2 linked regions of the Oryza sativa Japonica Group genome follow. The protein of the gene in region 1 interacts with the protein of each later gene in a pairwise test. Links are inferred from orthologs where the notes say so. Each region holds a gene or a part of one and is shown on either strand. Other genes may lie near its edges.

What was found.
Region 2: the proteins of protein ACCUMULATION AND REPLICATION OF CHLOROPLASTS 6, chloroplastic (region 1) and cell division protein FtsZ homolog 2-1, chloroplastic interact in a two-hybrid assay, tested with the Arabidopsis thaliana proteins (3 studies listed by BioGRID, with this or other methods). The link is inferred for Oryza sativa Japonica Group from reciprocal best matches to the Arabidopsis thaliana genes ARC6 and FTSZ2-1.

What each region holds. Positions count from the first base shown.
Region 1 is NC_089036.1:1,186,685-1,191,012, forward strand, and holds the start of protein ACCUMULATION AND REPLICATION OF CHLOROPLASTS 6, chloroplastic, read right to left. Parts: upstream 2,919-4,328; 5' UTR 2,864-2,918; coding exon 2,564-2,863; intron 2,183-2,563; coding exon 1,952-2,182; intron 1,849-1,951; coding exon 1,624-1,848; intron 1,459-1,623; coding exon 1,198-1,458; intron 1,101-1,197; coding exon 236-1,100; intron 2-235; coding exon 1-1. UniProt on the Arabidopsis thaliana protein: Component of the plastid division machinery consisting in a binary fission accomplished by the simultaneous constriction of the FtsZ ring on the stromal side of the inner envelope membrane, and the ARC5 ring on the cytosolic side of the outer envelope membrane.
Region 2 is NC_089037.1:25,859,440-25,864,024, forward strand, and holds the start of cell division protein FtsZ homolog 2-1, chloroplastic, read left to right. Parts: upstream 1-1,647; 5' UTR 1,648-1,984; intron 1,985-2,088; 5' UTR 2,089-2,172; coding exon 2,173-2,739; intron 2,740-2,829; coding exon 2,830-3,129; intron 3,130-3,261; coding exon 3,262-3,352; intron 3,353-3,852; coding exon 3,853-3,977; intron 3,978-4,585. UniProt on the Arabidopsis thaliana protein: Exhibits GTPase activity which converts GTP ligands to GDP.

The sequences.
Region 1 (4,328 bases):
TCTTCAACATTCATCATGCAAAAGTTAACTCTCTATGATATACATTACAGAATTATAGTAGCATTGTGTATGTATGAGACAAAAATATTTGATGTATAGCTTTGTTAAAACATTAATGCAAAGCTATAAGATCAAGAACATACTGTAATCAGCCAACAAGGATACCCAGTAAACACGTGAGCAGTAAATTCCAGTGTTGTTTGACTACTTTAGCAAATGAAAAGCATTTACTCACCATCAGTAGAGTCGACACTATTAGCAACTGCCACAGATCCATGCTCACTCCTAATAGCAGAAAGGGGCCTCTTACGAGGCAAATATTTGGCCCCAATTACTGCCAACAGTGCAAACAGTGCGCCAGCAGAGATAATCTTCAAGGCGGCATTTCTCGAATCATGAGCAGGTGCATTTTCCTGGTCAAAATTTTCAAGATATCCCCCAGGGCCATCTTTAGTATTTTCCATGGCTGACCTGTCTAACTGTTCTATCAATGGAAAAACCTTGTTGAACGCTTGAATAGCATTTGATTTCACAGTACCAAGTGCAGCTGTAGCTTGAGCACCAAGTTTTGCAATAGCAGCAGCAGCAGCCAAATGAGAAGCACCACCACCCTCCATCCTTTCTAGGTAGCTTAAAACTTCTGGATCATCGTAGTAATCTCCAAGTCTGAACTGCATGCCCCGAGTATCTCTGCTCCTAGGAAAAACCTCAAAGATAAGCCAAGTCTCCAAAAGCTTGCACAGCCCTGGAAGAAGATCATTCTCTTCACTGATGCTAGAGTTGGTCACAATAAACTCTAGAATTTTGGGGTCTCTGTATGGTGAAGACTCATTATCAATTCCAAGCCACATTCTGCACTTGCTAACATCTCCGACTAGCAATGAGCAGAATGCCCTTTCCAATGCAAGGTCCATCTCATTATCATAAGCATAATGAGAACCTATGTTGAACTTCTGGAGTTGTTCAAAAAGATCATCCGCCATCATGATGAATTGTGGCCTTTTACTTATAATTGCTTGAGCGACATGTGCAAGTGCTACATTGTAAATTTCAAACCATTCAGGAGGAATGCTATTCGGTGTTTTTGAAAAGAAATCCATCTGGGAGGTGTAACAGAAAGGGAGTTAACATGTTTTCAAAGATGTGCTCCTGCAATATAAATAGGCAGCTGCTTCATAAAAACAAACATGTACGAACCTGTTCAATTGATGTCATCCTCAAAAAAGCCTCGTTCATGAAGGCTTCACGAGAAAATCCTCCTCCAACGGTAGCAATACCTCCTCTGCCAACGCTCCACAAAATGTTTCTCGCACCTTGAAGCCCTTCTTGGCGCTTCTTATGATGCTCTGTGTCAATAGGAAGGGAGAGAAGCTCCAATACACAGCGAGGTGTAATCTCCTCGAGAGTTTCATCAATCTGTGAAAGCAGATCAGGTGCGAGATTGCTTGCTCCATCTTCCTACAGTATGAAGTTCCTATTAATATTGCTTCAAGGAAATCACCATTCTTATTAAAAAAATATAGCCCATGTGTCCCAAACCAATCTTCACAGGGTTATTTAATCTTATCCTATTCAAATATAAGCCCAATGAAAAAGTAGGGAGTAAAAAAGCAAACAGTTCACCTGCAAGAGCTTGAGAGCCCTCTCGAGCACCTCGCAGCAGCCAATTACATCTGGAGGGCTTGCTGCCATAGCATCCCTTGATAGATCCACATAAGCCAGAGCCATCGCTAGCACCACGTCCTGCTTGAAGCGCTTGGGTGGCCGATCCAGAAGCAACTGTTCTCCAGTTACAAGCACAGCAAGTGCCTCCCCAGCCTCCTGAAGCGCACACAACACACCTGGAACCTGCTTCACAAGACACCCAATATATTATAAGCAGAGAGAGATTATACACTAGTGCTATTTGACAAGATCCAAACACACCCTTTGCTGCCCCCTAAAGCCTCACCTTGTCCCAAGCAATATCCATGGTGAGAGCTTCTTCACGGTTCTCAGAAAGCGCACGATCATACTGAGTGCGGGAGTTCTGGTTCATGAGAGTGTCATGGGCAATCTGCAGCATTTGTCGACGACCAACAAGAGCATCCGTGCTGTAGCCATACTGCGGTGGCTTGGCTATCCGTGCCTCGAACGCCCTCCTGATGCCATCGCCAAGGAAATGTGGCTCTGCCCCTAGAACCTGAGCAAAGCCAGATTCAACAAAACATTTCGGAAATAGTCAAAAAGGCATGATCTCTCACTAGCCCCACACACACATGATATAGGCATAATTCGTATCATAGTATGCAGTGGATCACAAATGCGATGGATTCGGCATTGTAGTCAGTTAATAACCTAGTGAAGTGACACTACGGAAATAGCAAATAACTCGATTTCATGGAACTGAGGGATCAGTAACCTAGCAAAAGACTTGCAGGTGGAATAACGTTTCAACGATTTAGCAGTGACAATGTATCATCACCTACCAAGAAGGCAAGAATCATGCGCTTTTTTTTATCTACGGGATGATATTCCGAGGTCCAAATGATGAACAAACCGCAGCAGATTCACGGGGCCTCACCTTGTAGAAATCGACTTGGAGCGGGAGGGAGCGTTCGGCGGCGTCGGGGAAGAGCGGGACGAAGGGGGAGGCGGAGGGCGCGGCGGCCGGGGCCGGGGCCGGGGACGGCGGGTCGGAGGGCGCGGCGGTGGGGAGGAGGTGGAAGTCGGCGAAGAGGCGTTCGGCCCAGCGGCTCGCGGCGCGGCAGGCAGCGGAGGGGTGAGGCGGCGGCCTGCGGCGCGGGCGCGGGCGCGGGCGAGGGAGGGAGAAGGCGAATGGCGCCGAGTTGGGGCGGGCGAGGAGGTTGTGGAAGCCCTCCATTAGCCGCCGCGGCGGCGGCGGCGGAGATGGAGGGGGCGGAGGAGAGAGAGGTTTTAGGAGTGAGGGGGAGAAGAGGGGGAGCCTTGCTGGCTTTGGCCCTTGTTTTTTTTTTTGCTGTTGTTTTCTTGTTGCTGGATGATCTGGGTGCATGATTGGAGACTTGGGCACTTTGGGAGATTTTGCTAGGTCCAGTATTGAGACACCAATTTCAAAACTAATCTTGCTAAGTCTAATATTTTAGGGTGTGTTTGAAAGGAGAGGAAAGAAGAAGGTTAAGGAGATATGCAAAGCGAAGTGAGTCATTAGTGCATGATTAATTGAGTATTAATTATTTTATAGTAAAAAATAGATTAATATGATTTTAAAAACAACGTTCCTACTTAAAAAATAATAAAAAAATATATTGTTTAAAACTTCAGAAAGCGTGCGCGTAAAGAACAAGGGATTTTTTTTCAATCAATCAGATGCAAACAAACAACACATTATAACCTCATGTTCAAAAATAGACTACAGATTTAAGTCTCGGATTTTAAATTTTGGTTATATTTAATAAGCTAACAGGCATATGAGGAAAGGCTAGACTTTGTTTAAGAGCCAAGTTTTTTACTGGTTTGGAGTCGGGTGTGAAAGTGGAAAGGCTTGTTTAAAGTTGTAATCAGTTTTGGTTTGTTTAAAAGCAAGGTTCTTATCGAATGGTTGTTTGGGTTGAAGCTTTTTACCCAAAGCCCATCATCTTGCTAATTAGACTAAAGGCTTTCAAGTTTCAACCAAATATAAGCAAGAGATCCTTCATCAAGTCATTTAAAGGCAACTTTGGCTGATCAGTTTAAGCATGTTGATTGACACTTTTTAGATTACAATGCTACCAAGTGACAAGGATATACCCCCTCCCCCACCCCACAAAGTTGACGATGTTGGGCTATGATGGGATATCATCAAATCCTCCATCTAAAAAGTGGCAAACCATCAAACTCTCATGTTTCAAATGTTTTTTTTGGCTTAAATTTAGATTTTTGGGGGCTAGTTCTTTTCAGGTCAATGGATAAATTGATGATGAGTTATATTACTTCACAGTAATAATACTTGACGACAAACGAACGGATTAACTATTAAAAAACAAAAATATTGTTTTAGAAAATATTATAGGAGAGTGAAACTCATATATAGAAAACTTTTGCAACAATTACACTGTATAAAAACTTACGAAGTGTGTTCGTGGTAATTCATAATCCATAAGAGAGAAAAAGGGACCCTTAAGAGTTGATTATCCATGTCCATTTTCTCAAGCTCAAGTTACAGATGACAACAATATGTGAATCACTTATCTCTACAGAAAATGCACCGGGCATACGTAATTAAAGTCATTATGATTTACCTCATTACCTTGTGGGTGAACTAATATGCAGTCTTGAGAACCAAGCATAAAAAACGAGATTTTGAGGGAGAGATGTCCCTCTAAACAATT
Region 2 (4,585 bases), on another chromosome or scaffold:
GAGTGAGGGGTAGGGAGCAAATAAGAGCATCTCCAACAGCCTCCTTATTCCCCTCTCCAAGTTAAATTTGGACAATTTTGGCTCAATTTCACCCTCCAATAGACTGGCTATCCGGATGGCCAAGCCATCTGGCTGGCCAAAGTCCTCCTCCCACTGGCCAAATTTGGCCAGCCAAAATAGCCTAGCCAATCGTGGGCCCCATGCCAACAGCATCCCTCTCCCCCTTTCTCTCTCCGCTACCACGTCGTCGAGATGCCATTGCTGCAGTTGAGGTCGTCGTTGCCGGACGCCGCCGCCGTCGGCGCAGTCGCCGTCACCAGATCTGCTGTTGTTGGGCGCCGCCGTCGTCGCGCCGTCGCCAGATCCTCGAGGGCGTCGTTGCGCCGTTGCCAGCCGTCGTCGGCGCCTCGCCAACCGTCGTCTCCGAGGTGGTCGTTGGCTGGCGTCGCCATCGTCATCGCCAGATCCGTCGCCAGCCGAGGTTGCCGTCCACTACCGTCGTCTCCGAGGTCAGCCCAAGCAGTGGCGGCGGCGGATGGCGAGCGGCGAATGGGGATGGGGCGGCGGTGGCGGATGGCGAGCAGCTGATGGGGATGGGGTGGCAGCAGTGGCGGTGGCGGATGGCGAGCGGCGGATGGGGATGGGGTGGCGGCGCTGGCGGATGGGGATGGGGATGGGGCGGCGGCGGCGGAGAGGACCAGCTCTCACCTACTGCGAGCTGAGCAGAGGGGCTTGGGGAAAAGGAGGAGAAAGATGAGGAGGAAGAAAGGGTTGTAGAGACTGACACGTGGGTCCCACTGTCATAGGTTTAGAATAGAGAAGATGAATGGAGATGCTGTTGGAGTAAATAAGAGTTTGACTGGCTAAATTAGATGGAGAGTTGGCCAAATAGACATTTAGAGAGTTAGATTTGGAGAGACTGTTGGAGATGCTCTAAGAGAAAGATGATATGTGGACCCCCCCCCACTTTATTTCTTAATTTTTTTAATAGTAGTGCTGCCACGTGGACGGCACATCAGCGAAAACCGTCTTAATAAAAAGGAGAGAGCGATTTTAATAGTTGGGGCTATCGTTATACCCCGAGTTTTATGATCGAGGGAGATGAATGAGATCTGACCATTAGTTAAGGGAGTCAGAGTGAACTTATTCCTCTATCAGCAGGGTTCGTTCTGATGATTCATATAGGCCCAGGACGCCCAGGATTTGACGAGGGCCACTTTAATTGCTCCAGGAGCGGAACTTGAGCCCATTCATTTTTATTCCGGGTGAGGAAGATGGGCCGGTCCCCGTAAGGCTTGAGGCCTTGTGGGCCGCTTCATCATCATCGATCTATTATGGACGTACAGTAAAAGGTCAGTCAGTCCCGGGCTCTCGCCCGGTCGGCGACTATGGACGTTTCCGCTGGATCCCTTTGCTCCTCCGAGGGAACCAATGGAGACGGTCCAGACGGAGACACCCATCGATCCGCCACCATCAGCAGAGGACGGCACACGAAACCAGCCAATGCTTTCGCTGTCCATGGGCCTCGCCCGCCTGGCACCTTGTGGCATCGCATGGCGTTGGCGTCACCACCCCGCTCTCGGCCTTTCCGTTTCTGCCTCTGCTGCCCACAGCCACCTTCCTCCCGTGCGTTGTGTTGTGCGTGCCAGATTGGTAGTAGTAGGCTGGTAGTAGCGCAGCGGTAGCCTCCTTCGTTATCCCCAAACCCCGCGCCGACGGGCGTCCTCCTCACCGACATTTCCTCCCACCCCCGCGCGCGCCCCGCCGCCTTTCTCGAACCTCCGCCGCATTCTTGTCACCTTGTTGATTCTTCATTCTTGATTTGTTCTCCTTTTTTTTTTGGTGATTTTGTTGTTTCTTGGCCTGCTACTGTTGGCGGCGGCGAGCGGTGGTCACCGGCCGTGCGTTCCCTTCTTTCTCCTCAGCCCTCGGCTCCCCCGCCGGCCGGACACGCCGCCGGAGCTGAGTTGTTGAGGTTTTGCAGGTATTGGTGATAAACCCTAGTATAGTTCGCTTGGGTTCTTGGGGATTTCCCTCCTCCTCCTCTTTGCTGCCGATCTAATCCAAATCTTCTTTCCCTTCTTCCAGGGAAGGGATACACTCCGATCCCCAATGCCCCGCGTTTGGTCCGCCCCTGCATCCTCCTCCACAGATTGCTAGGCTTCACCGGAGATGATGGCGGCGCCGCAGCTACCGTGCTGCACTCGCCTCGCTCCGCCGTGTCCCGGGAAGGCGGCGGCGGAGGCAAGAACCCTGGCACGTTCACGGTTCAGGTGCTGTGCGGGGGCCGCGAGGCCTCGCTCGTTCCAGAAGAAAGACTCCTTCCTGGACCTCCACCCTGAGGTGACCCTCCTCCGCGGCGGCGACGAGGCGGCCGTCGTCGCCACGAGGAAGGGGTCTCCGAACGGGAGCCCGCTGGAGGGGCTGGGCGCGCCGCCGGATCACTGCGATTACGACGGGGCCAAGATCAAGGTCGTCGGGGTCGGCGGAGGAGGCTCCAATGCCGTCAACAGGATGATTGAGAGCTCCATGAACGGCGTCGAGTTCTGGATTGTGAATACCGATGTGCAGGCGATAAGGATGTCGCCGGTCCTTCCGCAGAACAGGTTGCAGATTGGGCAGGAGCTGACTCGGGGTCTAGGCGCAGGTGGAAACCCTGACATTGGGATGAATGCGGCGAAAGAAAGTGTCGAGTCCATTCAGGAAGCTCTTTACGGTGCTGATATGGTTTTTGTCACGGTAAATGCTTCCCCCTAGATGGTCTCTTGACTTGTGAAATCATCATACATTGAGGTATGTGATAATAGTCTTTTGGTGTCCAAACTGCAGGCTGGGATGGGTGGAGGCACTGGAACTGGAGGTGCCCCTGTAATCGCTGGAATTGCCAAGTCCATGGGTATACTGACAGTTGGCATCGTGACGACACCATTCTCATTTGAAGGGAGGAGACGGGCAGTTCAGGCTCAAGAAGGAATAGCAGCCTTGAGAAATAGTGTGGACACCCTCATTGTCATCCCAAATGACAAGCTGTTGTCTGCTGTTTCTCCAAATACTCCAGTAACCGAAGCATTCAACTTGGCTGATGATATTCTTCGACAAGGAATTCGTGGTATCTCTGATATTATCACGGTAAGATAATGTCTGCATATAACTGCATTGGTTTGGTAGTGAAAGTTGGAATGCGGAAGTATGATGTGGATTAATTGAGCATTTCAGTGCTATCTAATTTGTATAAAGTTAACGGACTCTTCTCCTTTGCAGGTTCCTGGGTTGGTTAATGTTGATTTTGCTGATGTTCGAGCCATCATGCAAAATGCAGGCTCATCCTTGATGGGTATTGGAACGGCTACAGGTATTGCATTTGGACAAGTTTTATCTATGTATTTCTTTAATTTGTCTTTTGGAATTGTGCTTTCTGGAATTAGCATAAACCATAATACGTTATGATCCAACTCCCTTCTTTCTGTATTTGCTCTTTTCTGGAATTAGCTCTTCCTTGATGTTCGAGTAGTTTTCCCCGCAAAGATTCCACTTGGTAATTATTTCCCTATGTTAATAAGTATGTCTACCTTTTCTTTTTCTTACATTGGTCTCATTATTTCTCTTATGGAGAAATCTAAGTGGAAAGTGCAACAGGTTCTTGTATTGTGAAGGGATTATGCAATAGAGACAAACAAATCAGTAAAAGACATTAATTTTTTTTATACGAAGTAACCAATGGATGATATATGACAAGGGGAGTTATGAATTATATAGTACATTGTGATGTTTTGTTGTTTCCACAGGGACCATACATAGCTTAGATTGAATTTTACCCATATGTTTATTTAGCATGTTATTATAAATTTTCAGGGAAGTCAAGAGCAAGAGATGCTGCTCTTAATGCCATTCAGTCACCACTGCTAGACATTGGAATTGAAAGAGCTACAGGCATTGTGTGGAATATCACTGGGGGAGCTGATATGACTTTGTTTGAGGTTTGGTTAATCTTTTTCTAGTATGTTTGCATCATATTTTCTGTATGTTATCATGCATCTAACATAACATGAATAACAATCAGCTGAAAAAGGAAATGTTAGGAGACAGCAACTGCAATTCTTTTTTGTTTGTATGTGATAGTGAAATGTTGCTATATTATTCACTCTACAGCATACATACTGCTGATAAGTGTGGTTGAGTAGCTAAATTACCTTCCAATCTACCATGGGGCTATATTTCAAATGCTTGCTTGATTTGAAGCTCTATCTTTCAGGCTTTACTTGGTTGATTTTCAAATAGCCCAAGTGACAGGCTGAAACACTGATTCCCTGTTACAGTACTACATGTAACACAATCTTCTTTAGTTAGTTCAATGCATCAATGTGTTCAACTTAAATGGTTGATCAAATTTTGGAAGTCTGTAAGTGGCATGATAAACCACTGTCTTGGATCTTTTTACACCATAGGTCTGTCACTCTATCGCCTTAGCTAGATTAGAATTCTAATACTGCCTTGTTTTTACTGAAACCACTGCACGTGCCTCTACCATTTTCAGGTAGTATTAGCATATGCATGCTGGTTTGACAGCAATCTAGCAGATTCTTTC